Linked DNA regions of Macaca mulatta. The protein of the gene in region 2 interacts with the protein of the main gene of each other region in a pairwise test. Links are inferred from orthologs where the notes say so. Each region holds a gene or a part of one and is shown on either strand. Other genes may lie near its edges.

Evidence for each region.
Region 1: the proteins of LNX1 (region 2) and MAGEB18 interact in binary tests that used the Homo sapiens proteins (3 or more experiments, as listed by UniProt). The link is inferred for Macaca mulatta from reciprocal best matches to the Homo sapiens genes LNX1 and MAGEB18.
Region 3: the proteins of LNX1 (region 2) and NUDT14 interact in binary tests that used the Homo sapiens proteins (3 or more experiments, as listed by UniProt). The two-hybrid records come from large-scale screens. The link is inferred for Macaca mulatta from reciprocal best matches to the Homo sapiens genes LNX1 and NUDT14.
Region 4: the proteins of LNX1 (region 2) and ACAT2 interact in binary tests that used the Homo sapiens proteins (3 or more experiments, as listed by UniProt). The two-hybrid records come from large-scale screens. The link is inferred for Macaca mulatta from reciprocal best matches to the Homo sapiens genes LNX1 and ACAT2.
Region 5: the proteins of LNX1 (region 2) and uncharacterized protein LOC703872 interact in a two-hybrid assay, tested with the Homo sapiens proteins (2 studies listed by BioGRID and IntAct). The link is inferred for Macaca mulatta from reciprocal best matches to the Homo sapiens genes LNX1 and KRTAP4-12.
Region 6: the proteins of LNX1 (region 2) and RPIA interact in binary tests that used the Homo sapiens proteins (3 or more experiments, as listed by UniProt). The link is inferred for Macaca mulatta from reciprocal best matches to the Homo sapiens genes LNX1 and RPIA.
Region 7: the proteins of LNX1 (region 2) and RAD51D interact in binary tests that used the Homo sapiens proteins (3 or more experiments, as listed by UniProt). The two-hybrid records come from large-scale screens. The link is inferred for Macaca mulatta from reciprocal best matches to the Homo sapiens genes LNX1 and RAD51D.

The regions. Positions count from the first base shown.
Region 1 is NC_133426.1:25,968,700-25,972,736, forward strand, and holds MAGEB18 (melanoma-associated antigen B18), read left to right. Parts: upstream 1-1,968; 5' UTR 1,969-2,018; coding exon 2,019-3,053; 3' UTR 3,054-3,088; downstream 3,089-4,037. UniProt on the Homo sapiens protein: May enhance ubiquitin ligase activity of RING-type zinc finger-containing E3 ubiquitin-protein ligases. Proposed to act through recruitment and/or stabilization of the Ubl-conjugating enzyme (E2) at the E3:substrate complex.
Region 2 is NC_133410.1:79,936,947-79,941,569, reverse strand, and holds part of LNX1 (E3 ubiquitin-protein ligase LNX), read right to left. Parts: intron 4,259-4,623; 5' UTR 4,173-4,258; coding exon 3,793-4,172; intron 1-3,792.
Region 3 is NC_133412.1:178,605,632-178,610,798, reverse strand, and holds the start of NUDT14 (uridine diphosphate glucose pyrophosphatase NUDT14), read left to right. Parts: upstream 1-1,642; 5' UTR 1,643-1,745; coding exon 1,746-1,826; intron 1,827-5,138; coding exon 5,139-5,167. UniProt on the Homo sapiens protein: Hydrolyzes UDP-glucose to glucose 1-phosphate and UMP and ADP-ribose to ribose 5-phosphate and AMP. The physiological substrate is probably UDP-glucose. Poor activity on other substrates such as ADP-glucose, CDP-glucose, GDP-glucose and GDP-mannose.
Region 4 is NC_133409.1:12,235,765-12,239,190, forward strand, and holds part of ACAT2 (acetyl-CoA acetyltransferase, cytosolic), read right to left. Parts: intron 2,625-3,426; coding exon 2,481-2,624; exon of another isoform or gene 2,478-2,480; intron 1,644-2,477; coding exon 1,521-1,643; exon of another isoform or gene 1,520-1,520; intron 457-1,519; coding exon 302-456; exon of another isoform or gene 300-301; intron 1-299. UniProt on the Homo sapiens protein: Involved in the biosynthetic pathway of cholesterol.
Region 5 is NC_133421.1:65,465,600-65,469,377, forward strand, and holds uncharacterized protein LOC703872, read left to right. Parts: upstream 1-1,899; 5' UTR 1,900-2,077; coding exon 2,078-2,815; 3' UTR 2,816-2,887; downstream 2,888-3,778. UniProt on the Homo sapiens protein: In the hair cortex, hair keratin intermediate filaments are embedded in an interfilamentous matrix, consisting of hair keratin-associated proteins (KRTAP), which are essential for the formation of a rigid and resistant hair shaft through their extensive disulfide bond cross-linking with abundant cysteine residues of hair keratins.
Region 6 is NC_133418.1:25,384,315-25,388,937, reverse strand, and holds part of RPIA (ribose-5-phosphate isomerase), read left to right. Parts: intron 1-432; coding exon 433-497; intron 498-1,550; coding exon 1,551-1,619; intron 1,620-2,406; coding exon 2,407-2,548; exon of another isoform or gene 2,549-2,918; intron 2,919-3,827; coding exon 3,828-3,927; intron 3,928-4,623. UniProt on the Homo sapiens protein: Catalyzes the reversible conversion of ribose-5-phosphate to ribulose 5-phosphate and participates in the first step of the non-oxidative branch of the pentose phosphate pathway.
Region 7 is NC_133421.1:44,627,636-44,632,258, reverse strand, and holds part of RAD51D (DNA repair protein RAD51 homolog 4), read left to right. Parts: intron 1-3,124; coding exon 3,125-3,206; intron 3,207-3,450; coding exon 3,451-3,585; intron 3,586-4,091; coding exon 4,092-4,187; intron 4,188-4,623. UniProt on the Homo sapiens protein: Involved in the homologous recombination repair (HRR) pathway of double-stranded DNA breaks arising during DNA replication or induced by DNA-damaging agents. Bind to single-stranded DNA (ssDNA) and has DNA-dependent ATPase activity.

The DNA.
Region 1 (4,037 bases), on a different chromosome or scaffold from region 2:
AAAGGTACATGCACACATATGTTCATTGTAGTACTATTCAAGAGAGCAAAGGCATAGAATCAACCTAAATGTCTATCAACAGTAGACTGGATAACAAAAACGTGGCACATATATATCATGGAATACTATGCAGCCATAAAAAAGATGATACCCTTTTCAGGAACATGGATGGGACTGGAGGCCATTATTCTTGGCAAACTAACATAAAAACAGAAAACCAAATACCACATGTTCTCACTTATAAGTGGGAGCTAAATGATGGGAACACATGGACACATATAGGGGAACAATAGACACTGGGGCCTTTTAGAAAGTGGAAGGTGGGAGGAAGGAGAGGGTCAGGAAAAATAACTAATAGGTACCAGGCTTAATACCTGGGTGATAAAATAATCTGTACAACAAACCCCCATGACACGAGTTTACCTATATAACAAACCTGCACATATACTTCTGTACTTAAAATAAAGGTTAAAAAAAAGAAGCCTCAAGGAATCTTATAAAAAACATTTGTGCTACCTCAAGGCTTTAAGTCACTGAAATTCACTGTGAACTGGATTAGGATCTTACGGGAGGGGCGGAAGTAAAGCTTTTCAGAAATCCAAACCTGACTCAGCCAGTGTAGTAGAAACAAAACAAAAGTAATATACAAAGCGTTAAATTGAAAGTCATGGTTTCAAATAAGGAAAGATCCTAGCTACTCCAGATTTTCTCTAAGAAGTTCTTTTCTGGATTCCTTTTAGTGCCTGAATGAAAGATCCTTTGATGCTTTTGTCATCCTCATTTTTCTCCTAATGTACCGTCCTGAAAACAATCTATTTCAACAAATTTGAGAGGGCTTTAAAAATAAAAAAAAAAGTGTAATGAAAAATATACCATTCAAAAGAGCAGCAACATTCAAAATGTACCTAAAAAGAACATTAACAAAAACATACACTCTATCAAAGCAAATATAAAAGTTTACTGATAGACTCAGATGGATGCCTAAGTAGAGCAATACAATATATTTATACGTGGTGAACATAATATTGTACAGATGTCAATTATCTTTATTTACAGATTTAGTACCTTATTTGATGGCCTCAAGTCAGCAGAGAAGTGGCCCTGTACCTATAAAAAGTCACGATAAGACACTGAGTGAGGACTGAGGGCGTTACCTACCCAAGAAGAGGGACTCCCACAGACCCCGCCCCTACTGTCAATCTTGGGAGGCCCCAGGCATGGCTGCTAGGCTCACGCTCCACTTTACTTCCTACTCTGAACTCAGGGAAATGATCCTTTTTCTGAGGCTGACTGATTCAGCTTAGCAAAGAGAGAAGTCCCAGTGCCTGCAAAGTCAGTGAAAGAAATATATGTATTTCTTTAAGAACTGCCCCTCCCCCAGAACACAGAACCATTTGCTGTTATGCTGGGAGAGCAAGGTGGGCGTGGCCGGAAGTGTTTCTCTTGACCTATATTCCACGTCATCAAGCTGTTACGGGCGAAGCCTTGGTCTGAAAGATGTGGCCAGAGAAATAAATTTCAGGATCCGGCAGGTGTCAAAGTGAGTATCGTTTGTTATGACCTTCGAGACACACTTTTCCCAGAACAGAGGCGGCCTCATAGAGACCCATCCTTCTCTGCTCTGTCCTGCTCCCACCGTCAACTGTGTGTGTCCCAAAGCGCAGCTGTTAGGCCTAATACCCTTACTTCCTGTTGGGAATCTGTGGGATGGGAAGCCATGGTCTAAAGCGAGGCAGCCTCAAGTCAACAGAGGGAGGACTCAAAGGACTAAAGTAAAATTAATATCCTGAGTTAGAACTGATGTGATAAACCCCCACAGAACAGTCCCAGCCTGCTCCTGCCTTATGGGTTCCTAAAGCAATACCCTCAAGAGAACCAGCAGAGGTGGCCATTCTTAGACCAAGGTAGAATCTCCCTACCAAGGCTGTGAACACTATCTTATCCTCCGTCTTCTAGGGTGACCTCTTCATCAACCCAACTGCCTGCACTATTGTCTGTAGTCCCTGACAAGAGTAATTATGCCTCGAGGTCAGAAAAGTAAGCTCCGTGCCCGTGAGAAACGCCACCAGGCTCGTTGTGAGAATCAGGATCTGGGTGCTACTCAGGCCCCTGTGGCAGAAGGAGAGTCGTCCTCCTCTGCCAATCTTCTCTTTGGTGATAGACCCCAGAATTTGCCTGCTGCTGAGACACTTAGCATCCCTGAGGCGCTTCAGGGAGCCCCATCCACCACCAATACTATTGCACCTGTTTCATGCACCAGTTCAAATGAAGGTGCCAGCAACCAAGACGAGAAAAGTCTAGGTTCCTCAAGGGAAGCTGAGGGCTGGCAAGAAGATCCCTTAAGCAAGAAAGTAGTGTCGCTGGTGCATTTCTTGCTTCAGAAGTATGAAAAGAAAGAGCCAATTACAAAGGGAGATATGATAAAGTTTGTTATCAGAAAGGATAAGGGTCACTTCAATGAGATCCTCAAGAGAGCCTCTGAGCACATAGAGCTGGCATTTGGTGTTGATTTGAAGGAAGTGGATCCCATCAGGCACTACTATGCCTTTTTCAGCAAACTAGACCTCACCTATGATGAAACAACCAGTGATGAAGAAAAAATTCCCAAGACTGGCCTCCTGATGATTGCACTGGGTGTGATCTTCATGAATGGCAACCGTGCCCCAGAAGAGGCAGTTTGGGAAATTATGAATGTGATGGGTGTATATGCTGATAGGAAGCACTTCCTCTATGGGGATCCCAGGAAGGTCATGACCAAAGATTTGGTGCAGCTAAAGTACCTGGAGTACCAGCAAGTGCCCGACAGTGATCCTCCACGCTATGAATTCCTGTGGGGTCCAAGAGCTCACGCTGAAACTAGCAAGATGAAAGTCCTGGAGTTTGTAGCCAAGATGCATGATACCGTCCCTAGTGCCTTCCCATCCTGCTATGAAGAAGCTTTGAGGGATGAGGAACAGAGAGCCCAAGCCAGAGTTGCAGCCAGGGCTCATACTGCTGCCATGGCAAATGCACGTTCCAGAACCACGTCTAGCAGCTTCTCCCATGCTAAGTGAAATCTGAGGTTGGTTCTTCACTTTTTGGTCGAAAAGGTCTGTCAACATTCTAATAGTGGAGGGCCATGGTGGGGCTGGAAGAAATAAGCGTATATCATCTTTGCGTTCCTATTGTATATTGATAAGTAGAGTTTTACTTTTCCTTCTTTTTTTTTTTCCCTAGGTTACATTTCAAATGTTGAAGTCTGAAGAAGATTGTTTTCTTTGTGGAAGAAAAAAGCAATCAACATTCTAAGTAGTGAATGGCCAGGGTGGGTCTGGAGGGAACACAGCATATATCATGTTGTGTTAATATTCTATAGTAACTTGGAGTTGTATCTTTTTCTTTCTTTTTTTTTTTTTGGTGTTATATTTCAAATGTTGTTTCTTTTAATAGAAGTTTTAGATTACTTCAGAATCGAAATTTATTAATGACTTTGGTTACACATGTATTGCTATTTAAGAGTAGGAGTTTTATTGTTCTGTAAAACAAATTGGGAAACCTTCTTTCATATTTAATGAGCCAAAACAAGGAAACACAGTATTGGAATAGGTATTTCCTTAAAAAATGTGAAATGATTTAGCAGTAAAATTTTGGAGATCAAAACATAGGTGAGAAAAAGTAATACTTTTTAGTTCTTGGTTTTCTTTATCCATTTTATTCTGTTATATAAAGATAAAAGAGTCATACCTGGATTGGCTTAGCTTACTGAAGAAGGTAGGAAAAAATAAAATGTTTATGAACTAGCATCTATGCTTACTGCCTCATTCATTCCTCCAATATTAATAAAACATCTGATCTTTGAAAGTAATTTTGTTAGAAATGGGAAAACTAGGATACAAAACACCCAGCCCTGCTTAGACTTTTACAATTAATGAACAATAATAATGCATGGAAGATGGTGAAATACTTCTAAGACCTAAAGTACAAGTAAGAAGAGGGAGTAAGGAGGTAAGGAGTTAGAGAGGGGTTTGGGAAAAGTGCTGGAGTATATCTGGCTGAAA
Region 2 (4,623 bases):
AGGGGAGGAAGAGGGGGCCTACTGGCCCATTACAGGCCCAAAGCCCAAGAGAGATCCACAGTCTGGTTATAGGTTAGCTTCAAATTCTTCTTTTTTTTTTTTTTTTGAGACAGAGTCTCACTCTGTCACCCAGGCTGGAGTATAGTGGCATGACCTCAGCTCACTGCAACCTCCACCTCCCAGGTTCCAGCGATTCTCCTGCCTCAGCCTCCTGAGTAGTTGGGATTATAGGCGCCCGTCACCACGCCTGGTTAATTTTTGAATTTTTGGTAGAGACGGGGTTCACCATTTTGGTCAGGCTGGTCTTGAACTCCTGACCTCGTGATCCGCCCGCCTTGGCCTCCCAAAATGCTGGGATTACAGGCATGGGCCACCGCGCCCAGGCAGGTTAGCTTCAAATTCTTAATCCTTGCCAATAAAACGTCCAGGGGGTGGGAGGCGAAGGACTGTATATATTAGGCATATGGTGACTAATACATACAACATATTTTTGGAAATGTTTTCAACCTACTTAGGAAGCAGAAGTGTGGAGTCTTGAGAGCATGTGTTGAGGCCCACGCCTCCCTGATGTGGGGGCGTCCTCTCCAGAGAGCTGCTGTGGGCGCCTGTGAAGGACTCACTCAGAGGGTGCAACTTAAAAAGGTGACTCACTTTCAGTTTTGGGTTCTCTCCTCACTGCCGTTTTCCAAACATGCATCTCATTATCAGCTGAGTGTTCTTCAAGACTCTATCTCGGCCTTCCTTGAGGTGTGTGTGGGTCACACAGGCTGCATGGGCTAAGGGTGAATGAAATTCCCAGTCTGCTTCAGGCAGCTGAGGGGTACCTGTATCATCTTTCTCCTGAAGACCTCACAGATTTCCGACAGTCTCCTCCTAGCCCTTCCCCTTCCCCACCTCCCTTCTGGCCTAACCCTCGGATCCATCTTCTCCCTATTTTTAGAAGCACTCTCAGCCCCAAAACAGTCCTGGATGAGGGAATGAGGAGGAGTGGCTGGGTTTTGACTTTCTCCCCAGAGGATGCCTCCAATACTGTCTTCTCTCTCCCCACTCTTACTCCTGGGGTGGGCAGAATAATTATTCCCCAAAGATGTCCATCTCCTAATCTTCAGAACCTCTGAGTATATCACTTCATATGGCAAAAGGGACTTTGCAGATGTAATTAAGAATCTTTTTTTTTTCTTTTTTTTTTGAGATGGAGTCTTGCTCTGTTGCCCAGGCTGGAGTGCAGTGGTGCAATCTTGGCTTACGGCAGCCTCTGCCTCCCGGGTTCAAGTGATTCTCATGCCTCAGCCTCCCAAGTAGCTGGGATTGTAGGCTTAGGCCACCATGCCTAGCTAATTTTTATATTTTTAGTAGAGACAGGGTTTCACTATGTTAGCCAAATTGGTCTCAAACTCCTGATCTCAAGTGATCTGCCCGCCTCCACCTCCCAAAGTGCTGGGATTACAGGTGTGAGCCTCCATGCCCCACATAAATGAAGAATCTTGAGATGAAGGAGCCATCTTGGATTATCCAGGTTGGCCCAAGGTAATCACATGAGTTCTTATAGGAGGGAGGCAGGAGGCTCAGAGTCACAGAAGGAGATGTGAGGATGGAAGCAGAAGCCAGAGAGAGCCTGGAAGATGCTATGCGGCTGGCTCTGAAGATGGAAGAAGGGGCCATGAGCCAAGGAAGATAGGCAGCACTAGAAGCTGGAAGAGGCAAGGAAAGGGATTCTGCCCTGAAGCCAACAGGAATGCCACCCTGCTGACACCTCAATGTTAGTCCACCGAGACATATGTTAGACTTCTGACCCTCAAAACTGTATGATAACAAATTTGTTTTTTCTTTTTTTGAGACAGTCTCTCTTTGTCACTTAGGCTGGAGTGCAGTGGCACATCACAGCTCACTTCAACCTCAACTCCCAGGCTCAAGCAATCCTCCCACCTTAGCCTCCTGAATCACTAAAACTGCAGGCACACACCACCAGGTCTAATTTTTAAATTTTTTATAGAGATGGGGTCTTGCTATGTTTTCCAGGCTGGTCTCAAGATCCTGGACTCAAGTGATCCTCCTGCCTCAGCCTCTCAAAGTGCTAGGATTACAGGTGTGAGCCAGTGCACCCAGTAATTTGGTTTGTTTTAAGTCACTAAGTTTGTGATTTGTTACAGCAGCAACAAGAAATGAACACAGCTCCCCAGCACAAATGTACAGCTGCAACATACCAGGAACACGGGACCATGGTGAGGGTGGAGGGAGCTCTACTGGGCTCTTTCTCCTCCTTGTTCCCCTCATCCCCCTGCCCAGTGTGGCCCCACTCTTGAACATGGCTCTGTGCCAACTCCTGTTGGCATCTACCTCGCCTTTGACTCCAGACCTACTTCTTTCCCACCAACGTCTCTCATACCTAGGCAAAACTTTCAGCAAAGGTCACAAATAGACTACCCTACCTATTCCTCCTTTAACCACATCTACTTCTGAGGAATGAGGGAGGCAGGGCATCCTAGTTTAAACACCAGCAATAACAGCTGCAACCCAAAAACCTGAGGTAGAAGCATCTGGCTCAATATCTTGGGGAGAAAAATGAATTCACTGACATAATGAGTATGGCAAACACATGCTAAGCATTACACCCAGGCCATTGCTTTTGATGCAAACTTCCATGTTAGAGAATACATGCAAGTCCCAAAAGACAAAGACTCAGATTCATGACCTAAGGTATGTAACCTTTAAAAAAAAAAATACCTGCACCTGCCTCCTGCCCTTGTCAAGACAGGAACCAGGATAAACACCAGCTTCCAAATTTCCTGTTACAAAATAATTGTGGTATGATCGTTCACCCTTTATTAAGCACTTTAAATGTTCTCATACCCAGGGACATGACAATGTAAGTGGACAAAATAAGAGGCAGCCAGATGGAACAGGTGATGTTAGCCATCAGCAGCGGCAATCACACCAGAATTCTGCCACCAGTGTGGGTGCGGTGTGTGGGTGGGTGTGTGCGTGCATGCACAACTTAGCAACTTGGCCACAAAGTTAGCAGAACAAATTGCTTGGAGGACAAAAATTTCCTAAATTTCTCCTTTTAAAACTTAATTGAGAACACCTCACACCTTCTCAAAGGACAGTTGTGCCTTGTCAATTCCAATATAGAGGAAATTCTAATAATCAAGGGTCAAACTGGGGCACCTTTTTTTCCGTAAGTGAAAAAGCAAGCAGCGCCTATCAGGAAATACTTCTGGGACCCATGAGCCTCAGAGAAAGCTGCTCATATGCCCTCTCTGGCATATTTCACATTTCACAACATACACACATGAGATGAGCTGGTCGCAAGAAGACAAATACCATATGATGTCATTGACATGAAGCACTTAGAGCATATTCATGGAGACAAAAAGTGGAATGGTGGCTGCCAGGGACTGGGGGAAGGTGGAATGGGGAGTTTGTGTTTAATGAATATGGAGTTTCCATTATGGAAGATGAAAAATTTCTAGAGATGGATGGTGGTGATAGTTGCACAATACATGAAAGTACTTAATACCACTGAACTGTATACTCATAGTGGTTAAAAATGGTAAACTTTATGTTACATTTTATTACAATTAAAAAAAAAATCCCATAAACACACACACACAACACAACTCCACCAAATGCTATTTCCTCACACTGAACCATGACCATAAACACCTATGTGTTTTTGTATTTTGAATGGATCATTTTGTTGGTTGCAACCCCTCAGGAGACTGGGGGGTGGAGGGGTCCAGCTGTCCCCCTTGGGGGCGGGGCTTCCCAGCTCACTGGTGAGGGACCTACCTGGTTTGAAAGTGATGCTCGAGGTCGCAGCGCTGCAATACCTGGGCGCAGTGCTCCCTAAATGGGCAGGTCACCAGCAGCTTGTTGAGGAGTTTGTTGACCAGGATGCTGGACTTCTTGCAGTGCTGCAGAACCAGAGACTTGCGGTCCATGGGGCAGAAGTCCTTCTCCACCAGGAAGTTGGTGAGGCAGAGGGTGCAGTAGGTGTGTCCACATGGAGTGTCCAGGGGGTCCAGCAAAGCCTGCAGGCAGATGTGGCAGATGAGGTCATCATCCACATCCTCCGGGTAGCTGTAGAAGTGGTTTTCCTCCAGGGAGTGGGCTTGGCCGCACACGGCACACAGGGCTTCAGGGTCATTGGCAGACTCTGGCTGGTTCATGGTCGATTGGAGAGCAGTATAACAGGAAACTCAGTCACACAGTATTTCCTCAGGAGCAAGTCGAGATCTAGGAGCCATCCACACACCTAAAAGAGAACAAGAAGGCTCACTTTTGCCTCCCAGCACATGAAAGACTTATGCTTATGGTAGACATGAGACAGTGCTGCCAGTGCATGGCGAATTGAGCTACGATTCAGAAAGCCATGGTTTAATGTCCACTCTGGAGTAACTGACAGGACCTTGGGCAAGCCCCACGGCCTCCTCGTGCCTCTGTTTTTCCACACATGCCAGTAGGAATAATGTTCACCTTTAACATCCTCACATTGGTGTGGTAAGAATCATTTGGAAAGTATCTGGGAAATGCCTAAAGTAACCCCAAAAAATGTAATTTGTTAAGAAAATTAAATAGATCAGTGATGTATAAAATTCTTGTCAGATCAAGACAAGAAAA
Region 3 (5,167 bases), on a different chromosome or scaffold from region 2:
CCCAGGGCTGCTGCTGCTGGAAGCTGAGACTCATCCTCATTTTCCACACAATCACAGGCAGGAAGGGGACTGCATGGGACATGCGAAGATGCGCACTTACCCTGGGCCCCTCGTGCACCAGAGGAAGAGGCCTGCCTGGCTGTGGGGTGGGGTGGGGCCAGCTTCTGGGCTGGGTGCTCTGGTTGGTAAACTCTGGCTTCTGGGACACCAGGAGGAATGGCTAAAGCGGGGAGACACAGGCCCCTGTAGAGCTACTGGGGCGGTGACAGCTGGACTTGGATGCTGGCTTCATGACCGTGTTCCCCAGCGTTCCCACCTGGTGATACCCCTTCCCTGGAATCTGCGGGTAGCCCAGGACTTTCTGACCCACAGGATGCAGTAGGAATGACACCATATGACATCTGAGGCCAGGTCACACAAAGCCTGGCAGCTTGGCCCGGCCTAGTGAACGTGCTCTGGAAGGAGCCAGCTGCTACCGGAGAATCCGACTACCCTGAGACCACCAGGCTTCGGGGAAGCCCACACCAGCCACAAGGGAGGCCAGCTGGCCCTGGCTGTTCCAGCCACCCAACTGAGGGCCAGGGGTGAAGAGGCCATCCTGGACGGTCCACCCCGTTTGGCCTTCAGACGACTCCAGCCCCAGCTGCCACCTGATTACAACTGCAGAGAGACCCCAAGGCAGGGCTGCCTGGCTGAGCTGGGCGATCCATAGGCCAGGCAATAAAGGGGCACTTTAAGGCATTAAGCTTTGGAGTGTTTCGTTACACAGCAATAGTGAACAAGGATCTGGGAGTCTATTTCAAGCCCACATGGCCAGTCCACCCTGAGCCTGTTCCCCTGGGCCATAGTTCAGAAAGCAGGTGCAGGTCAGGGTTCAGGGCCAGTGTGGGCCTTAGCTCCCTTGCCTCAATATTGTTTCCAGCCCCTGTGGAGGCCGTGGTGGCATTTGGAGGGGGTCCTTGGAATCCATGCCCAAGGAAGAACTGCAGCTGCCTGGGACCCTTCCACACCCAGGAAGGACCGTCATCAAGGTAGAACTTGCAGGAGGAGGGAAGGGCAGCTGGCTTTTGAGTGGAGGAGGGACAGCTGCAGAGACAGCGTGGCAGCTCCCAGCCACCCTGGACACCAGCAACCTCGAGGGGAAGCCCCCTTGGCCCAAGCTTTGGCCCCTCCCGCGCCCCACTCTCCTCTCCCCTGGCTTCTTTCCAGGGCCCTCTCTCTGGCCTCCCGTGACTCTCTTCCTGGGCCCAGTCCCTCCCTCCCTGGGGCGCTGCTCCGCCCCCGGCCCCGCCCGCGGACCCCTGGAGTAACTTAATCTCAGGGTTGTGGTTCATCCCCAGAGGCACCCCAAACGGGCAGGCTCTTGGCTCCAACCACCTCCAGGCCCTCCCTCCCCCAGCCAAGAGGTCCCTAGTCCCACCCAAGCACTGTACCCCGGTCCGGCTGGCCCCGCCCGGCGGCCGGGGTCGACCCAGCCAGTCCTTCCTCTGCGCGACGCCCACGTGCCTGCACGGCTCCCCTGGCACCGCGGAGACCGGCGCCCCCAGGCGCGCAGCACCCGACAGGTGGCACCTGCGAGCCCCGCCCACCTCGGCCGCCCCGCCCCGCCCCGCCCCGCCCCGCGCACCCACGGAGCATGCTCAGAGCCGCCGTCACGCGCGCGCCCGAAAGCTCCCGTCCTGCCAGGGCGCTGCCCCGGGTTGGTCCCCACTGCGGTCGGGACCCCCGCCTGTCCTGGCGCCGCCATGGACCGCATCGAGGGAGCGTCCGTGGGCCGCTGCGCCGCCTCACCCTACCTGCGGCCGCTCACGCTGCATTACCGCCAGGTGAGCCCGCGTCCCCGCGCCCTCCGCGTCCCCCGTGTCCCCGCCGGCGGCCCAGCCCACGACCCGCGTCCCGCCCACCGCCTTCTGCGCTGCGGGCCCCGCCCCGGAGCCCCGCCCCCGACTCCCGCCGAGCTCCGGGTCGGCCCCTTCTCCGCCCGCCGGATCGCGGGTTCCCCGACCCAGTGAGCCCCCAGGCCGGGGAGGGGCCGCAGGAGGGACATCTGAGGGGACACCACTCATCCTTTCAAGGAAGCATTGCTGGGCCCTATCCTTCCCGTCCCCGGAATCCGACCCTTTTGGCAGTGGGACTCCTTGGTTGCCCTGGGGATCAGGGAAGGCTTCCTGGAAATGGTGGCTTTCATGCTGCAACTTGAAGGAGGAGATAGCTGGGCCGAGGAGGAAGGAGCAAGGAGTGCAGAGGGTGGAAGCAGGGAGGTAGGAGAAGGAGCTGAGTGAGAATTTGAGCGAGTCTCAAAGTGGGCTTCCTCCTTGGGGTTTTTTCCAGGGAGGGCACCTCCTTGGAGTCTCCATCTGCCTAAGCTCAGCCTTCCCCACCTCCTAGGGTGTCACATTCTCCCATGCCAGGCCCCGACACGAGGGGCTGTGTTGCCTCACTTGGCACCAGGCACATGGTAGGTTCACAAGGAATATTTTGTTTTGTTTTGTTTTTGAGACAGGGTCTTGCTCTGTTTCCCAGGCTGGAGTGCAGTGGCATGATCACAGCTCACTGTAGCCTCAACCTCCTGGGCTCAAGCGATCCTCCTGCCTCAGCCCCTGCCCCGGTAGCTGGGACCACAGGTGCACACCACCACACCCGGCTGATTTTTAAATTTTTTTGTAGAGACGAGGTCTCACTGCTGCCCAAGCTGGTCTTGAACTCCTGGCCTCGAACTCTTGGCCTCTGAAAGCATGGGGATTACAGGCATGAGGCATATGTGTTGGGTGAAGGAGCTACTGCCATCCTCTTCCCACATCCAGTGGATCACTGAGTCCCAGCCTGTCTTCCTCTAAGCCCAGCCCTGTCCGGTTTGGGCCCCACCTTTTGCTTGCATGCCTGCCTGCCCCCAGCAGATCTCCCCTCTGCCAGAGCTCCTGCATGCCATTTAGGCAAAGACTGCCTTCCTGGCCACAGTCAGTCCAGCGCCCCCAGCCTCTCATCAGGTCAGGTGGTCCAGGTCGCCGTGCCCCTCTGCTTGCCTGCCTCCCTCAGGGGGCATCCTGTCCCCCCCATCACATCCAGGATGCTGCCCCTCACCATCCTTGTGAAGCCCTCTTAGCCCCCAGCCTGAGAGAGGCCCTGTGCCCCTCACTTTCCCTGTGGCGGGAGTCCTGTTGGCTCTCCCCAAGGCAAAGCTAAGCTGGTGGTGCTGGCGGGGGGCAGCTGGGATCAGTCGAGGTACAGCAGGTGGGGACATGGGGTCACTGCCCTTTTCCCTGATGGCCACATGGGATGCCTGCTTGTGGCCGCACAGTCCCCACAGGGCTGGGCCTCAGGCAGCAGGTACAGGGCAGCCCAGGCAGGTGCCCTCTGTGGCCCTGGTGGCAGCACTCTCTCCCTCACTTCCAGTGAAGCGCTCAGGGCAGCCCTCGCAGCCTCAGCGTGCAGCCCACTGGCACAGCTCTGCTGAGGGGCTCTGGTAACCAGAGCTGAGCTGGTGTGGGCCGTGGCTGTGGTGGACACGGATGCAGGCTCAGGGCGGGCGGCGTCTTCTCAGGGCCAAGGGACATTGGGTTGGACCTTGGCCGCCACCCAGGGACAGCTGCAGCCCTCAGCTTTTTGCTGCATCCAGCCAGGGGAGGCCTGTGATGTCAGGCAGACCAAAGGCGGGGGACCCCCATGGCTCTGAGGTGATGGGGCTTTGTTTGCACCCAGCCCTGCCCCTCTTTCCCAGGCCTCAGTGGCCTCCCTGAACCTTCCTGCACCTTGACCTGGCTGGACCTAAGGGTCTGACACACTTTTGACCTTGAGCTGAGAGGGTCCTTGAGACCTGCATGGGGTGATGTTACTCAGGGGGAAGCAGTGGTGGGGAGGGGGCATGGGCATAGCAGGCACATGGCAGGCTGTGGGCAGGGGGCTTCCCTGAAGCCTGCCCTGGCTGGGTGGCTGGCTCTGGGGTGGCTGGATGTCAGGCAGGCCTGGGCTCGCCTCCCGGGAGTGGTACCCCACGGCCTCTTGGGCATCCTGACCTGCGCGGGACACTGGCCCTCCCTTCCCTTGGAAATGGGCACTCTCCTCCCAGGACGCCTTTGCCTGCCAGCCAAGCTCAGAGGGCCTCTGTGCCTCTGCCTGCCCAGAATCCCTTCCCTCACTTCCGTCACCTCTTCCAGGAAGTCCTCAGGAAGGCTTCTTCCCTCTTCTGCAGTCCTGGCTGCACTTCCTGTGTCTGCCGCTCAGGCTCTGTCCATTTCACAGCCTGGGCAGAGCCCCCAGGGTGGGATGAGCAGCTCACCTGGGCCTCGGAGTGGCAGATGGGCTGAGCTCGCCGGAGATGGGACCCCGTGGGACCCCAGGCCCAGCCCCCAGGATGGGAGTGCATCTCAGAATCCGTCAGTTCCAGCCTCCCCCAGCAGGCCCAGCCCACACACCTGCCCACCCAGGGTGCAGGGGCCTGCCAGGGCGGCGTGCCCAGCGTGTGGAGGGGGAAGGTGGAGGGTGGCCACAGGAGAACAGGACCACAGGGTGTGTGGGAGAGCCACGGCCAGAAACTGGGGATGGGAGGGTGGGAGGCGGGGCCCAGCCCGGTCACCATCACAACAGTCACAGAGTCCTGCAGTGCCATCTCCTACCTGGCTGGGGCGCCACCCTGCCCTGCCCCATCCACTCCTGGTGCTGGCCCCTCCTGCCCTCCCGTCTCCCCCTGTTCAGTGGCCCAAGGAAGCTTCAGCAGGAAAACCTGGTCTCCTCTGCCTGGGGTCCCTCCCTGCCCTGCTGTGAGGGGTCCTGCCTGCCTCCCTGAGCCTCCCTGAGCCTCCATGAGCCTTCCTATACTTGGTGACAGTGTGCGTCTCTCTGCAGCCCCTTGTGCCCGGTCTGTGCTGGGCAGTGTTTCATGGGGTGCCTGGATACCTTCCCTGCCTTTTGCCCTGGTCTTCTGCCTCACTCCTAGGGTATTAGGCTGTCCTCGACCTCCCTGCCCCTCCCAGGCTGCTTGCTCCTCTGCCCACGGGAGCTGCAGCTCCTGGGTCCTGTGGCCCAGGCCATGAGCCGATCTCCCTGGTTTGGAGTGGGTGCGGCGGGTCTGTGGCCTCCTTGGTTCCCCAAGCACCTCTGCCCATCCTGGCACATTGTAACCGCTGATCTGCCTCTTCTAGAACGGTGCCCAGAAGTCCTGGGACTTCAT
Region 4 (3,426 bases), on a different chromosome or scaffold from region 2:
CAACATAGTGAGACCTTGTCTCTACAAAATTAAGAAGTTAGGCATGGTGGTGCACCTGTAGTTCAAGGTAACTTGGGGAGCTGAGGCAGGAGGAATATTTGAGCCCAGGAGTTTTGAGTCTGCAGTGAGCTGTGGTGATGCCACTGCACTCCAGCCTGGACAACAGAGCAAGACCTTGTGTCAAAAATAGAAATAAATGCTCTTGGTTACTGTTCTGGTAGGGAAAGGTAACTACATGAATAAGCTCATTTAAGGCTAACAGGAAGACAAATTTCATAAAGGGGAACAGGGTTATACTCACAGCTTGCTTTATGGCTGGAATTGGTCCTATTCCCATAATGGAAGGCTCCACACCCACCTGGGACCAGGAAACTATTTGTGCTAAAGGTGTAAGCCCACGTTTATCAGCTTCTGACTTCTTCATAAGAACCACAGCTGCAGCACCATCATTTATTCCTGTAAAATATGAGTGACTTGATTTCTACAGTGCTTATTAACTTCAGTTACATATCTGTGTCTTTACCACCTGAAGACATGAGCTAAATGGTTTTACCTGTTGGCTAAGGCATTTACTGTAACTGAACAGACTTTATACACAGAAATCATGTTTGGCAATTAGAGTGACCACAAAACTTTCCAACTAGAGAAAGTGATAGGATTATAGTAGTCAGGGCTGGGCGTGGTGGCTCACGCCTGTTATCCCAGCACTTTGGGAGGTGGAGAAGAATGGATCACCCAAGGTCAGGAGTTTGAGACCAGCCTGGCCAATATGGTGAAACCTGTCTCTACTGAAAATAGAAAAATTAGCCAGCGTGGTGGCGTGCGCCTGTAGTCCCAGCCACTCAGGAGGCTGAGACAGGAGAATTGCTTGATGCTGGGAGGCTGATGTTGCAGTGAGCCAAGATTGCGCAACTGCACTCCAGCCTGGGCGACAGAGCAAGACTCCGTCTCCAAAAAAAAAAAAGAAAAAAAAATTATATATATAAAAAAAAAAAATTACAGCAGTTGGGGAGGAGAGATCTCTGACAGGAAATGGAAGAATAAGCCCGGGCCTCACAAGGAAGTATTGGGAGTTTCTGGTATTGGAAAAATACAAAGGTAGATAAACAAGTTCCCTAATTTACTTCTTCATTTGCAAGTCTAGTTGGGATGTCAAGAAACCAAATTAATTCTTTCAGTATAGGTTAAGTCAATGATCAAATACAGAGAAATGATATGTTTCCTTAAACTGTTTTAAGAATAATTTTGTATATAAATATGAGTTGGGTGTGGTGGCTCATGCCTGTAGTCCCCCAGCTACTTGGGAGGTTAAGGCAGGGGCTCACTTGAGCCCAGCCAGGAGTTTGAGACTGCAAGTGAGCAAAGATCATATTGCTGCACTCCAGCCTGGCTGGCAGAGTGAGTCCCTGTCTCAAAAAAACAGTACTTTTGTATATAAATAAAGAGAAAAATATTCACTTGGTAGACCTTATAGAACGTAGTATTCCCCCAGATGAAGTATTTCCTTCAGAAAATCTAACCTGAAGCATTGGCTGGGGTGACGGTTCCCGTTCCATCGGTAAGAAAGTAAGGCTTTAGCTTGGACATGTCTTCTATGTTGCTCCCGTGGCGAGGAAACTCATCTGTTTTAACTTCAATAACACCTAAACAAAGGAAAACCAATTACTCAAGATTAGTCCAGGGACAGAAGTGTGCTGGGAATGGTGGGTTTCTCTGACATGAAACATGAGGATTCATATTTAGCAGAAAAGTTTTAATATATAACCACTTTGATTACAACAGGAGGAAAGTACACACAAGAATTATTGTACATGAAAACAATGTATGAGTATGTCCTTATAAGACACCTGTGTTTTTCAAATCCATAGGCCTTCCTGAGGAAAGTAGCTACCAGGGACCTGTTTGTGCCAAATTCTGCTATGGTTTGGGTCATAGTACTTGACTGGTTACAAGTGAGTGGATCAGGGAGTCTCAAAGTCAATCCTGCACTGCTGGCTGGCCATAAGAGATGTCAGTTATCAATAAGGGAGCTTGATGGAAGCACTCTGTATTAGAAAATAGCAAGTGACCCCAAAAGATCCACCCTTTAGAAATGGGAAAGGGAGATCACACAGAAGCAGCGAGAAGTAATGGGTGTCCACTTCTGAGGAGGTTGAGCCTATACAGGAAACAGGTCAGCTGGTGCCTCCTAACAACCATGAGCCAGTGCTCCAGTGTCTCATGAAACCTGCTGTATGTGCACAGCAGTCATGGACACTCTGGAACCAAGGGTGCCTGAGCGCTGACACAGTTCCCATGTTACCGTGTCCTGTAAACCCAGCATACCCCCTCCCTACCTTCATGTATCCAGGACATATCTTTGCAACCTGAAAAATATAACTAAGATATAATTTCTAAAGATTCCTACGTATTACTCTTTTAGATGTTACTCTTACCTATAAATAGGTTGATGTTTAATTAAACCATTATAATATACTCACCTTTTCTAGATGACACCAAAACTGGTACAATCTCTTTGTCAAAATGGCCAGCTTTCTGTGCATTCTCTGTCCTATTCTGAGACAGAACTGCAACCTTGTCCTGATCTTCTCTACTCACTTGCCATTTTTTGGCTACATTTTCAGCTGGGAAAGGAGAAAAAGAGCAAAAAACCAACATTTTCATGAACTGGCATTTGATAGATCAAGTTGCCCATATTTGACCAAGCGCTGACTGACCACACATGCTAGCAGGCTCATGGTGGCCTGTGCAATGCTCTGTGTGGGGTGGCCCTGCCTGCCACCGACAGTGGGTCTAGAAGTGTTGCAGAGACTCTCAGGAGTCATACTTCTCTCCTTCCCTTTCTATATAATTGTAAACTTAACAGACATTTCCTTCACCTAGAGTCACCAGGTATATTTCCCCTCCATTTGCTTTAACATTTTCTTTCTGAACCATTTGAGAGAAAGTTGGAGATACAATGCCTTTTTACTCTTAAATTTTAATTTCAGTGTATACTTCCCCAAAACAAGGCCACTTTTTTACATAAGCACAGTTATAAAACTCAGGAAATTGGGCGAAGTGTGGTGGGTCACACCTGTAATCCCAGCACTTTGGGAGGCTGAGGCAGTAGGATCACTTGAGCCCAGGAGTTTGAGACCAGCCTGGGCACGGTGAGACTCTGTCTCCATTAAAAATAAACTTATCTGGGCACGGTGTGTGTGCCATGTAGCTAGCCGTCCTAGCTGCTTGGGAGGCTAAGGCAGGAGGATCACTTGGGCCTAGGAGTTCAAAGCTGCAGCAAGCCATGATCGCACCTCTGTACTCCAGCCTGGGTGACCCCGTCTCACAAAACAAAACAAAAATCAGGAAATTTAACATGAATCAAACACTATTATCTAATCTTTGGTCCACATTCAAATTTCACCTATTATCCCAGTAATGTCC
Region 5 (3,778 bases), on a different chromosome or scaffold from region 2:
GGGGGCCAAGGGTGGAATGCAGTGGTTTGAATGTGTCCCTCAAAGTTCACGTGTTGGACACTTGATCCTCAATGCGGCGGTGCTGGGAGGCGGCGCCCAACAGATGTTTGGGTCATGGTGACACCACCCTCATGAGTGGATTCATGTTGTTATCACAAGAGTGGGTTCCTTATAAAAGGATGATTTTGACTCCCTCTTTCTCTGTCTCACCCTCTCTTTTCCCTTCCACAATGTGATGACACAGTATTCCTGGTTATCTATAACTAAGTCTTATTCTATGAATGGAATCCCAACTTCCACAACTTTCCGCATATACTGTTTATCAGGGGACATGTTACTTACCATAGAAATTAGTTTTCCTAAAATTAAACTCTGATCTCCTTGTTTGGAATGTTTTCCTCTCTTTTATCCAGAAGTCAAAAGATATATCCATTTCTAAAGGACCTTACATGCCTCTATGACATCAAAAAGCCTTCATTCACTCAATAAACATTTACCACCAGTGTTCTCTGTGCTGAGTATCATGGTAACAAAAAGAAATGTCATAGGCCATGCCTTCAGGGTATTTGCATTGCATATGGGGAATGACAGAAGTAAATGACTATGATACAGTAGAATGTATCAAATTATGAGCACAAGGGAGGAAATAATGATAAATGTATGGTGTAGCTTATCAGGAAAAAATTATTGAGGAGGAAATATTTTAACTGGTTTTGACACATGAGTAGGAGTTTGCAGAATGAACAAAAAAAAATGAAACATTCCAAGAAGATGAAACAGTTTCAGCAAGTTTGGCAAATTTTATTCTTTACCTCTTTCTTGGCTACCCTAAGACATATTAGGCTTACTTTCTCTTTAATCTTCGACACGTTTTTTGTTTGTTTGTTTGTTTGTTTTAGCTTTTTAATGCTTCTTTTGCGTACTCTGCTAAAAGAGTAATAAGAATGTACACTACTTTATAAGGTTGTATTAAAGAGTGAAAATGAAATAAATATAAGATGTTTAGCACAATGTCTGGTACGTAGTCAAAACTTCACAAGTAATATACATACCTTGAGGGTGTATGGAACTTATCCACATACTATACATTTTTATTGTAGTTGTTTAATGAACATAATTGTGATTCCTTTCATTTTTGCCAAATTCTGTTTCTTATACATGTGTCTTATACAAGTACCTGCAGGAAAAAGATGAGGGTTTATCCGTTCTATACCCAGAGTACCCAACAGAATGTCTTGGATGCACATTATTGAAGGCTTAATAATTATAAACATTGTCTACATATAACAAATGCTTTTGTCAAATAGAAATTCATCATGCAATTTTGATGATCAAAGATAAAACTTCCTACTCCTAATGCCTATACTGTAAGACATATACAAAAATGTGTTTTTACTCCTTAAAGGCAATGAGTCATGGCTAAGTACTTTCACTTGAAGTGGTGGAATAAGATCTGACACAGAGTTTATAACTTCCTTGGGATCTGACCATCTCCTCAACCGTTCAAGAAGCATACACGGAATCAGAGTCATCTTCATTACAGGTGGGACATCCTTCTCCCGAATGAGTCCTTCCTTCTAACTCCTTTCCGACATCTCATCTGACCAGGACATTCTTTGACAACAAAAGATACATTCACATTATAAAAAGTGTCCCCCATGATTTGTAGAGAGCTATCTACAGGTAGGAGGGAGAATCACATTTAGAAATAAAGTGTCAGAGTCATGTGTCCAGCGGTTTGTAAAAGACACTGCATAGACCAGGGACAAAGGTGACCCCCACTAGGGAAGAAATATGACAAGTGTTTCCAATAGAAACACAGGAGCACAGCAGGAAAAGGAAATGGGTTATTTTTTGAATATTTAAATGGGTTAGTTTTGGAGTATTTAACTAGAAACACACAATGATGTAATTACATGATTAAGTTTTCCACGAGGTAAATAATAACAAGGAAATAATGACGTGGTGGCAATGGGCCTTCAGCAGGGTATAAAGGAGGCTATGGACCCAGAAGACTTCCAAACACAAGAACTTCAATCTCTTGGAAACCCACCCAGATCCTCCCCGTTCTGACACCATGGTCAACTCCTGTTGTGGCTCCGTGTGCTCTGACCAGGGCTGCTGCCAAGACCTCTGCCAGGAGACCTGCTGCAGCCCAAACTGCTGTCAGACCACCTGCTGCAGGACCACGTGCTGTCGCCCCAGCTGCTGTGTGTCCAGCTGCTGCAGGCCCCAGTGCTGCCAGTCTGTGTGCTGTCAGCCCAGCTGCTGCCGCCCCAGCTGCTGTCAGACCACCTGCTGCAGGACCACCTGCTGCCGCCCCAGCTGCTGTGTGTCCAGCTGCTGCAGGCCCCAGTGCTGCCAGTCTGTGTGCTGTCAGCCCAGCTGCTGCCACCCCAGCTGCTGTCAGACCACCTGCTGCAGGACCACCTGCTGCCGCCCCAGCTGCTGTGTGTCCAGCTGCTGCAGGCCCCAGTGCTGCCAGTCTGTGTGCTGTCAGCCCACCTGCTGCCGCCCCAGCTGCTGTCAGACCACCTGCTGCAGGACCACCTGCTGCCGCCCCAGCTGCTGTGTGTCCAGCTGCTGCAGGCCCCAGTGCTGCCAGTCTGTGTGCTGCCAGCCCACCTGCTGCCGCCCCAGCTGCTGCATCTCCAGCTGCTGCCGCCCCTCTTGCTGTGAATCCAGCTGCTGCCGCCCCTGCTGCTGCCTGCGTCCAGTCTGTGGCCGAGTCTCCTGCCACACCACTTGCTATCGCCCAACCTGTGTCATCTCCACCTGCCCCCGCCCCTTGTGCTGCGCCTCCTCTTGCTGCTGAGCCCCCTGCCCTGCTTCACCTCCCCCTTCACTGCTGGCCCACAGATGCAGACCCTTCTACTATGCTGGCTATTAGGACACATGGAGTGGGGTTGATGTCATTCAATAGGATGGACCTCATGTTTCCAATGAGCCCATCACCATTTCACTGACTCTGAGAATATTCTGGTTCATTTTAAGCTCCCTCCCTTGCTTTCTTTTTCTTCCAGTGGTAGCACCAAATAGAAATTAATTTGTAATCCACTAACTAAGAAATTATTCCAATCCTCTAATTTCCTTATTTTCTTTATCACTTTGAGGTAGAGATTCTCCTTCTCAGTGAGGTAGACGTTATCTGCAGGCTCAGTTTTGTCACTGATGTTGCACCCTCAGACCCAGGGGCCCAGTTATATTCTGTGTTTCTCCTAGTGTGAATTTCTTATGCTTTGTAGCATCTCTGCTTTCTAATAAACTTTTCTGCACGTAAGAATTCATTGGTATCATTCTCTATTGCTTTCATAATTATTTTACTGATTCCCTAGCAATTATATTTTACACAAAGATACAGGAAGAGCAACCCATGTTGAAATCACTTTGAAGATACATGCTATATAAAATATACATAATTTAAGGTATTGGAATAAAAGTGCTGTGTGTATATGTGTATGTGTGTGTTTGTGGGTGTGCACAGGTGTTTTAATATCCTAAATTAAGACAGATTTAATTCATGCCTTAGCTCTTGAAACACATTTTATCTTTAACACGTTATATCTAATTGTCATACTATTGTCCCTATTTTGACAAAAAAAGATAAAACCAAATTTCTGAAAAGTAGACACCAATGAAAGAAGGGAAATCTTCTATAAAGAATTTAATGTACTCAATTCATTTCACTCAATAAACAACATTTTGGAATTTATTATTAAAAAGTGGACTTTATTTCCCAGTGAGTTCTGCTGAGAAAAAAAAGCATATTGAGCTGTAT
Region 6 (4,623 bases), on a different chromosome or scaffold from region 2:
GAATTTAGTAGCACAGATATTACTGTATTGACCCTTTGGTTGGACAAGACTCATTGTAATATCTAAGATTTTTTATTCCCCCACCGAAAACCAATTTTTGCCTCTTGGGGGAGGTGATAGCACCCACACTGAGAACATATGTTCTAAATAGTGCCAGGTTGTCCACAGGGAAGCCCATCAATGAGAAAAGGGAACATAGTCTTGTGGGTAAGAACTGTACCCTGGTTAGAGTCCCAAGTCCTGTGCTGTTTCCCTTTGATCCTAGTGGAGCACCTTAATCTCTTGTAGCTCAATTTCTTGATTTGTTAAATGGGAGTACTGGAATTAGCTAATAGGGCTGCTGAGTATCTGAGGAGCTATTGCACGCTCGGGCAATTAGCACAGAGCCTCCCCTCAAGTGGTTTTTGTATCTTTCCTTTCCCTCCGATGCAGATCGACCTTGCCATCGATGGTGCTGATGAAGTAGATGCTGATCTCAATCTCATCAAGGGCGGCGGGTGAGTGTGGTGGGGGCTTCTGTGCTAAAGAGTATCTGCCAGTTAATCCTTAGCAAAGCAAGATGGATACAGAATAAACAAATTGCCACTGTGACGTATGCAAGTTTGGCTTTCTCCTGGGATATTAATAGCATATGGCCTTGGACCCAACTCAGCATTTCTGGTCATTAGCAGCAATTTAGTGACGAGGAACCTGCGCCTCTTTAGTGAGATCATTCGTCATAATGGATTCCCTGTGGATCTGTGTTCTTTTGTTGATTCAGACTTTAAAAACGTAAGGCCATATCAAAATAATATTGGCTAGATTATTAGGTCTGTGGGCACCAGTGTGTGACTTTTGCTTTGAAGCTGTGCTTACCTCTGTGAGCAGTTAGGGATATTATTTGTTCCTTTGGAAGACATTAATTGGGTATTTCTTAAGTGCTGATTTGGGGAGTGGTAGAAATGGTGAGTTGAAAAAGGTGAAATCCTGTTCTGCTGGCTCTTATAATCAAGCAGACTATGGAGTGATGTGGCATTTGTTTAAAATCACACTTTACTGTTTATTAGATTTCCTTATGTGTTATTTAATCATGTCAACTGCAGATGTGAGATAATTTAGCTGCTGAACCGTAGAGGTAGACCTGGACCCAAATCTGCTGATTCAGTGCTCTGGGCTGTCTCCACTTCATCACCCTCATTGGCAAATAGTCGATTGGGCAGGTTGTTCAAAGCATGCCCTCAGCTTCTAGACCCTCCCATTCATGCCATGTCCAGATGACGTCTCCCTGTACACAATGCTTCCTCTCAGATGCATTTGGATGGAATTATGCCTGGCCTGAATGGGAACCTTGTCTGCTTTCTAGGTTTCTTTCAGACACAGGGTAATGTTTCTAGAGTCCATTTACTAGGAGCAGCATGATGGGACTGGGGATGTCCCTTTGAAAATTAAAAGTTAAGTTTCTTTTTAAGTGCCAGGATTGAGTGGATTTGGGATTCCTGTATGTGACCTTAGTTCCCAAACTGAGATTTTTGTCTTACTCCTGTGTTCCTTTGCTTCCTTCCTATCTGCAGAGGCTGCCTGACCCAGGAGAAGATTGTGGCTGGCTATGCTAGTCGCTTCATCGTGATCGCTGATTTCAGGTAGTTTCTGGTGTCTGAACTGCCAACTAAGGAGGTAGATTGGAGCCCTAGGCCTCATCCTCATTTTTGTGAAGGGGGAAATGGAGAGCTGCAGGGACTCTCTGACTTTCTGAGACTGATTGCTAGGACTTAGTACAGTGTCTGGGAGACTTTATGTTCTGCTTCTAGGCTGAAGGTAGATGTTGCTAATCACACCACTGTTATCTGCAGCCAGGATCTCTAGCATTATTTCACGTGTTCAGTGGAACGGGGAAACAGCTTTTCACCCTGTTAGCAGATCGTGCTCTCATGTGTCATGTCACTCACTGGATCCTCACAGGGAGCCTCAGGGTGTGCCCTGCCCACGGGCAGTGACTCAGCATGCCCTGCTTCTTCTCAGGTCAGGGTTTGCCGCAGGTGACTGGTGTCATTGATAGTCTTTGGCCAGGCTCTCAGATGAGCATCTGAGAGGAATCTGGTCAAAAGCACTGTGCTGAGCATGTTAATTTCAAATATGTGCATGTGTGTATTTGCTTGTGAAATGTAGCCACAGGATGAGCATAAATATTAAACACCTACATACCTACAAGCCAGCAATATCAGATTTTAACATTTTTGTCATATGTATTTCAAATAGCTCTTTTCCTATATAGTGAAACAGCTAATTCATTTGAAGCCCTGTGTATACTGCCTCTGATCACTTTCCTTGCCTTCCTACCACCTAATTAACCCTATTCCTGAATTTGGTGTTTGCCTGTACTATTGAACTTATTTACTTTTATTTCACTTTTTGACTCCTCCTTTCCAGGAAAGATTCGAAGAATCTCGGGGATCAGTGGCACAAGGGAATCCCCATCGAAGTCATCCCAATGGCCTATGTCCCAGTGAGCCGAGCTGTGAGCCAGAAGTTTGGGGGCGTGGTTGAACTTCGAATGGCTGTCAACAAGGCTGTGAGTGGCCTGATTGGGCCGGGAGTGTCCTGGGTGCACTCAGGTTTTCAGTGTGGTGTGCTCCCTTCTGTTCCAGTTAGGTTCTCTGTGCCTCCACCAGGCAATTGGCTTTTATTTATTTTTAATTGATGTGTTTGTTTATTTTCAGAGAGTTGGCCCTGTTAGTTTCTGCATTCAAACTCTTGTAGACAAGACCACACTTAATACAGTGCATCTCCTTTGTACAGATGGGGGAATGATTCTTTCTCTGTGCCTCAGGTTCTGACATCCCACAGGTGATCTGACCTTTGTGCCTGAGGCCTGGAACACCCTGATTGGCAGCTGTGAAACACTGGCTTTGGGAACCCGTTTGAAGCAGAAAGTTTTTTAGGTTCCACGGTGTAACTTCTTTTCTCCCTCTTCTTTCCTCTCATTCTGTGGTTAAATGTGACAAGAAGTAGAATTTCCTGGGTTGTGTGAACTCTTCCCCAGGAACACACTCCAGATGGTCCAGATTTTTCATGTTTCTCTTTAGCTTCTAAAGTGGATTGCACAGAACTTTTCCCTCTTTTTGTACTTAAATAAGCAAGCAAAGAGCAATCCAGAAGCTAACCCCAGTTACATGTGTAACTACATAAACACTTTGGAGGATAGCGAAAAGATCTGTCACCCTACCCTGATACATTTTTATTTTAATATACTTTGTCCCCGGTGTTTCTGTGACTTTTAAAAAAACCGTAGTTCTATTCCTAGTGGTTGTACGGTGCTCTGACTGACGTTCATATTGTTGGCGCGTGAAAGAAATGCAGCACAAAATGGAGAAGTCGTTCGACCTTGACCCTGTCAGAGTTCTTATTTGAAAGCCACGTTGCTGCTAGTGTTCTTATTGTCTTTTGGATTCTGTTTCTTGCCCTTTTTCTTATTGGCCCAGTAGTAACTTAAGGAAGCAGATAAGAACAATAAATTTTGGACTAAAGGAAGTAAGAACAATGAACCAGAAATCAGATAGGAATGTGGTGATAATTGTGACATGTTCACATAGTCATAGTGGGAGCTCATGTGAGTAAAAATAGCTTGATACATTTGTTAAGAGGCTTGTATTCTCTCTCTACAAAGACTACAATCTAAGTCTGATTTCAAAGCCCCTGCTTATTACCACTTCACAGCACACCTTCTAAGAAAGCATAAAGTGGGAGCTGGTTAAAATGCATACATGTCTTTTGTTGTGCCCTCTACTTTCCTGTCCTTCTCTGCCTACCTGTATCTGCATCCTTGGTCATTGTGGAAAATTATCTTCTAGGGTCCTGTGGTGACAGATAATGGGAATTTTATCTTGGACTGGAAGTTTGACCGGGTACACAAATGGAGTGAAGTGAACACAGCTATCAAAATGATCCCAGGTAACATGAGTGGCATTCAACAGGCATGTACACCCCCATGCCCTTCATAACTGGCCCCTACATCTGGCTAGGGAAAGCACAATGGACATGGGCTTTGTAAGGCTTGGTTGGAAAGAAGAATTCCCTTTATACTATGTTTGGGTTTTTAACTTCACCTCCTTTGCCGTATTCCCTTCCCCTAACAATTGTTGCTTACCTAGCACCTTTGTTGCTTGTGCATTTCACAGCCTGTTTGAGTTGGGATAATCCTGAAGCTGACGGAAGTTCAGAGGGGACTTGCCTTGAAATAAGGTTATCATCTCTGGGTAGAACCTTTCCTTCCAGGAGCTGGACTGCAGCCTCTTTTTGTGGACTCTCTTAAGCATGGGGGAAAATAACTCAGTTAATCCATATTCATTGGATGCATGCCGAAGGCAAGATGTTGTGCTGTGTGTTACAGGGGATACTTCAATTTGGAGGACTTGTAATCTGTCCTTAAGGAGAATTGATGTAAACCTGTGGAAATCTGTGTGTATGTGTAGAAGCCATGCCTACAAATAAGATAGAATGTGCTAAATTCTACTAGAGGAATACCAAGAGTCTAGAGTGCACAAAAAGGTTCTTTTTGGCAGAATGCGAGGATGTTTTATGGTGTAGAGGTGGTTTTTCACCCGTGCCTTGGCATAGCATAAGTTAGACATGGTGCTAAGTGTCTAA
Region 7 (4,623 bases), on a different chromosome or scaffold from region 2:
GGGGGGCCAAGGTGGGTTGATCACCTGAGGTTGGGAGTTCGAGACCAGCCTGACCAATATGGAGAAACCTCGTCTCTATTAAAAATACAAAATTAGCTGGATATGGTGGCGTATGCCTGTAATCCCAGCTACTCGGGAGGCTGAGGCAGGAGAATTGCTTGAACCCGGGAGGTGGAGGTTGCGGTGAGCCGAGATCATGCCATTGCACTCCATCCTAGGCAACGCTCCGTCTCAAAAAAAAAAAAAAAAATCAACACTATTAACTATTAGGGAAATACAAATTAAAAACACAATGAGCTATTATTACATACCTATCAGAAAGACTAAAATAAAAAAATAGTGATAATACCAAATGATGAGGATGTGGAAACACTGGACTACTCATATATACATTGCTACTGGAAATGTAAAATGGCATAGTCACTCTGGAAAATAGTTTGGTAGTTTCTTATAAAATTAATAATGCCTTTACCATACCACCCAGCAATTGTATTCTTGGGCATTTATCCCAACGATGTGAAAACTTGGGTTTATACAAAAACCTGTAAAAAATGCTTTATAGCAGTTTTATTCACAATAGCCCCAAAGTGGAAACAACCAAATGGCCTTCAGTGGATGAATGGTTAAATAAAGTGTGGTACATCCATACCATGGAATACTTTTTAGCAATAAAAAGGAATGAACTATCCATATATGCAACAACTGGGATGGATCTCAAGGGAATGATGCTGAGTGACAAAAGCCAATTGCAGGGCCGGGCACAGTGGCTCATGTCTGTAATCCCAGCACTTTGGGAGGTTGTATTGGGCAGATCACTTGAGGTCAGGGGTTCAAGACCAGTCTGCCTAACATGGCGAAACCCCGTCTCTACTAAAAAATACAAAAATTAGCCAGGTGTTTTGGTGGGCACCTGTAATCCCAGGTACTCGGGAGGCTGAGAGAGGAGAATTGCTTGAACCTGGGAGGTGGAGGTTGCAGTGAGCTGAGATTGCACCACTGCACTCCAGCCTGGGCAACAGAGTAAAACTCCGAAACTCCGTCTCAAAAAAAAAAAAAAAAAAAAAGAAAAAGGAAAAAAAAAGCCAATCACAAAGGTTACATAGTGTATAATTCTATGTACATAACTTTGTTCTTGAAATAACATAATAGAGATTAGTGGTTGTCAGGGGTTGGGGATTGGGGTGACTGGGAGGAATGTAGCTATAAAAGAGTAGCAGGAGGATGACTTATAGTGATGGAAATGTTCTGTATCTTGATTATAGCGGTTGTGTAAATCTACATATGTGATAAAATGGCACAGAACTAGACACATCGTACGTGCTTGAATGCTAGGAACATTGGTGAAATCTGAATAAGCTCTGTGGATAGTACCAACATCAGTTTGCTACTTGTGATATACTATAGTACTTTCTTTCTTTTTTTAAGGAGAAAAGGGTCTTGCTATGTTGCCTGGTCTAGACTTGAACTCCTGGACTCAAGTGATCCTCTCACCTTAGCTTCCCAAGTAACTGGGACTATAGGCCCCTGACTAGTACAATACATTTTGTAGTACAATTGTTATTATTAAGGGAAACCAGGTGAAAGGTTCATGGACTTTTTGCAACTTCCTGGGAATCTATAATTATCTCAAAGTTGTTTTTTTTTTGTTGTTTGGTTTTGTTTTGTTTTTTGAGACGGAGTCTTGCTCTGTCAACAGGCTGGAGTGCAGTGGCGCGATCTTGGCTCACTGCAACCTCCGCCTCCTGGGTTCAAGCGATTCTCCTGCCTCTGCGTCTCAAGTAGCTAGGACTACAGGTGCATGCCACCATCAAAGTTTTTTTAAAAACAAAACAAAACAAAAACACAAATTTTGGGAAATGCTATCAAGGAAACCCACAAACGGCTGGGCCTGGTGGCTCACGCCTGTAATTGTAGCACTGTGGGAGGCCGAGGCAGGTGGATCACTTGAGGTCAGGAGTTTGAGACCAGCCTGGCCAACATGGTGAAACCCCATCTCTAATTAAAAAAATTAGTCAGGAGGCCGGGCGCGGTGGCTCACGCCTGTAATCCCAGCACTTTGGGAGGCCGAGGCGGGCGGATCACAAGGTCAGGAGATCGAGACCATCCTGGCTAACACTGTGAAACCCCGTCTCTATTAAAAATGCAAAAAATTAGCCGGGCGAGGCGGCGGGCGCCTGTAGTCCCAGCTACTCGGGAGGCTGAGGCAGGAGAATGGCGTGAACCCGGGAGGCGGAGCTTGCAGTGAGCCGAGATCGCGCCACTGCACTCCAGCCTGGGCGACTAAGCCAGACTCTGTCTCAAAAAAAAAAAAAAAAAAAAAAAAATTAGTCAGGGATAGTGGCGGGCGTCTGTAATCCCAGCTACTTGGGAGGCTGAGGCAGGAGAATCACTTGAGCCTGGGAGGTGGAGGTTGCAGTGAGTAGAGATCATGCCACTGCTCTCCAGCACTCCAGCCTGGACAACAGAGAGAGACTCCATTTCAAAAAAAATAATAATAAATAAAAGGAAACCCACAGGGCCTGAGATGAAAAAAAATGAAAGGAGGACCTTCTGATGGGGTGAAGAGGCCTCTCTGGAAAGCTGATCTTTAAGAATGGAGGGATGAAGAGAGACCAGAGAAGGAACATTGGGGCATTCCCTCTTTCCCAGAAGAAAACATCAGGAGAAGCCTCCTGGCCAGTGATGTTCAAAGACAGAACCAGTGCTTGAAAGGAATGTCTTGGCCGGGCGCGGTGGCTCAAGCCTGTAATCCCAGCACTTTGGGAGGCCGAGGCGGGTGGATCACGAGGTCAGGAGATCAAGACCATCCTGGCTAACATGGTGAAACCCCGTCTCTACTAAAAATACAAAAAACTAGCCGGGCGTGGTGGCGGGCGCCTGTAGTCCCAGCTACTCGGAGGCTGAGGCAGGAGAATGGCGTGAACCTGGGAGGCGGAGCTTGCAGTGAGCCGAGATCGCGCCACTGCACTCCAGCCTGGGTGACGCAGCGCGAGACTCCGTCTCAAAAAAAAAAAAAAAAAAAAAGAAAAAAAAAAGAAAGGAATGTCTTACTTTTCTTCTTGGTACCTTTTCCCCTCTCTTCCTACTAACCTCTTGTGTTGATTTTCTTCTTTTTTGCCATCAGCCTGGACAAACTGCTTGATGCTGGTCTTTATACTGGAGAAGTGACTGAAATTGTAGGAGGCCCAGGTAGCGGCAAAACTCAGGTACACGTGAGGCCCGCAGTCAGGAGGATTTGAGGGTGAGGGTGGTAGGTGCATAGCCCAGGATCCCTGGGGGAGCTTCAGCATACTGATGAGTTCAGAGCCCAACAGAGAGAAGATGGGTGATGAGGAATGGGGCTTGGACTCAGCGCATTTGTGTTGCTGGAATCTGGGCAAGGTTTGGTGGGGAGCTCCCATTCTGGACCCTCTCTGAAGTGTCAAGTTCATCCAATGCCCCCACCCCCAGGTATGTCTATGTGTGGCAGCAAATGTGGCCCATGGCCTGCAGCAAAACATCCTGTATGTAGATTCTAATGGAGGGCTGACAGCTTCCCGCCTCCTCCAGCTGCTTCAGACTAAAACCCAGGATGAGGAGGAACAGGTAAGGGGCAGGATGCTGGGTTCCATTGAGATTCTGACACAAGAAAACCCCATTACCCCTTAACATTGTAAGAATTTGGGTTGAATAGTCATTCCTTGCCTTCAAACTTGCTGTTCTGTTAATACATCCCGTATTCCTTAAGCCACCCCTGTTGATACCATCATCCTATTTGGGATGCTACTCGCACCGATTCTTCCAGAAAACCCTCCCAGCTCTGTGCATGCCCTAAACCAGGGCTGGTAAACACCGAGCTTTGTGTTTCCAGTCCATTTCTCGCCCATGAGAAGCATCACTAATCAGTCATATCCCTCTTTCCTCCTGAGTTTGAGTACTTTACAGCTCAGCACCCAGGCAGCCACCACCATGACAACTGGCCCATTAGACAAAGCTCATTTGCCACCCTGGACCTGAATCCTTGAATCCAGGTGCCTCTTCCTTCTCAGCCTTACCTCGACCCCCTACTCCCTCTTATCCAAAGCCCTTGCTTCTCTTTTCCACCCCTTCAGGCAGAAGCTCTCCAGAGGATCCAGGTGGTGCATGCGTTTGACATCTTCCAGATGCTGGATGTGCTGCAGGAGCTCCGAGGCACTGTGGCCCAGCAGGTGAGCCTGCTGTTCTGCCCCTCCTTGCTTAACTCAGCTTGCCAGGTGCTATCTCTGTGGGCCGGTGTCCTACTACAGACTGTTTAGAAATGCAGATGTGCAATTTGGTGACTCCAACTATGCTTGCTACTCCCAGGATGGAATTCCCAAGCGCCTAAATCACATACCTCATTGTTTACATGTTCATCTTCCCTGCTGAACAGTAAAGCCCCCTGAATGGAAGTATCATGTCATATTTATCTCTGCATTCCCCACTAGGTGAGTGAGGAATACTTTTAGCTGCCAAGTAATAGAGGTTGTCTGACAGAGACTTGAACCTTGAGGACATTTAATTATGTCACATGAGTTGGAGGTTAGCAGGTCCATGCTATCGGGGCAACAGTTGGTGTGTCTGATTTTCTTGTTCTTCCCCTCACGGTTGCAAAGAGGCTGCCGA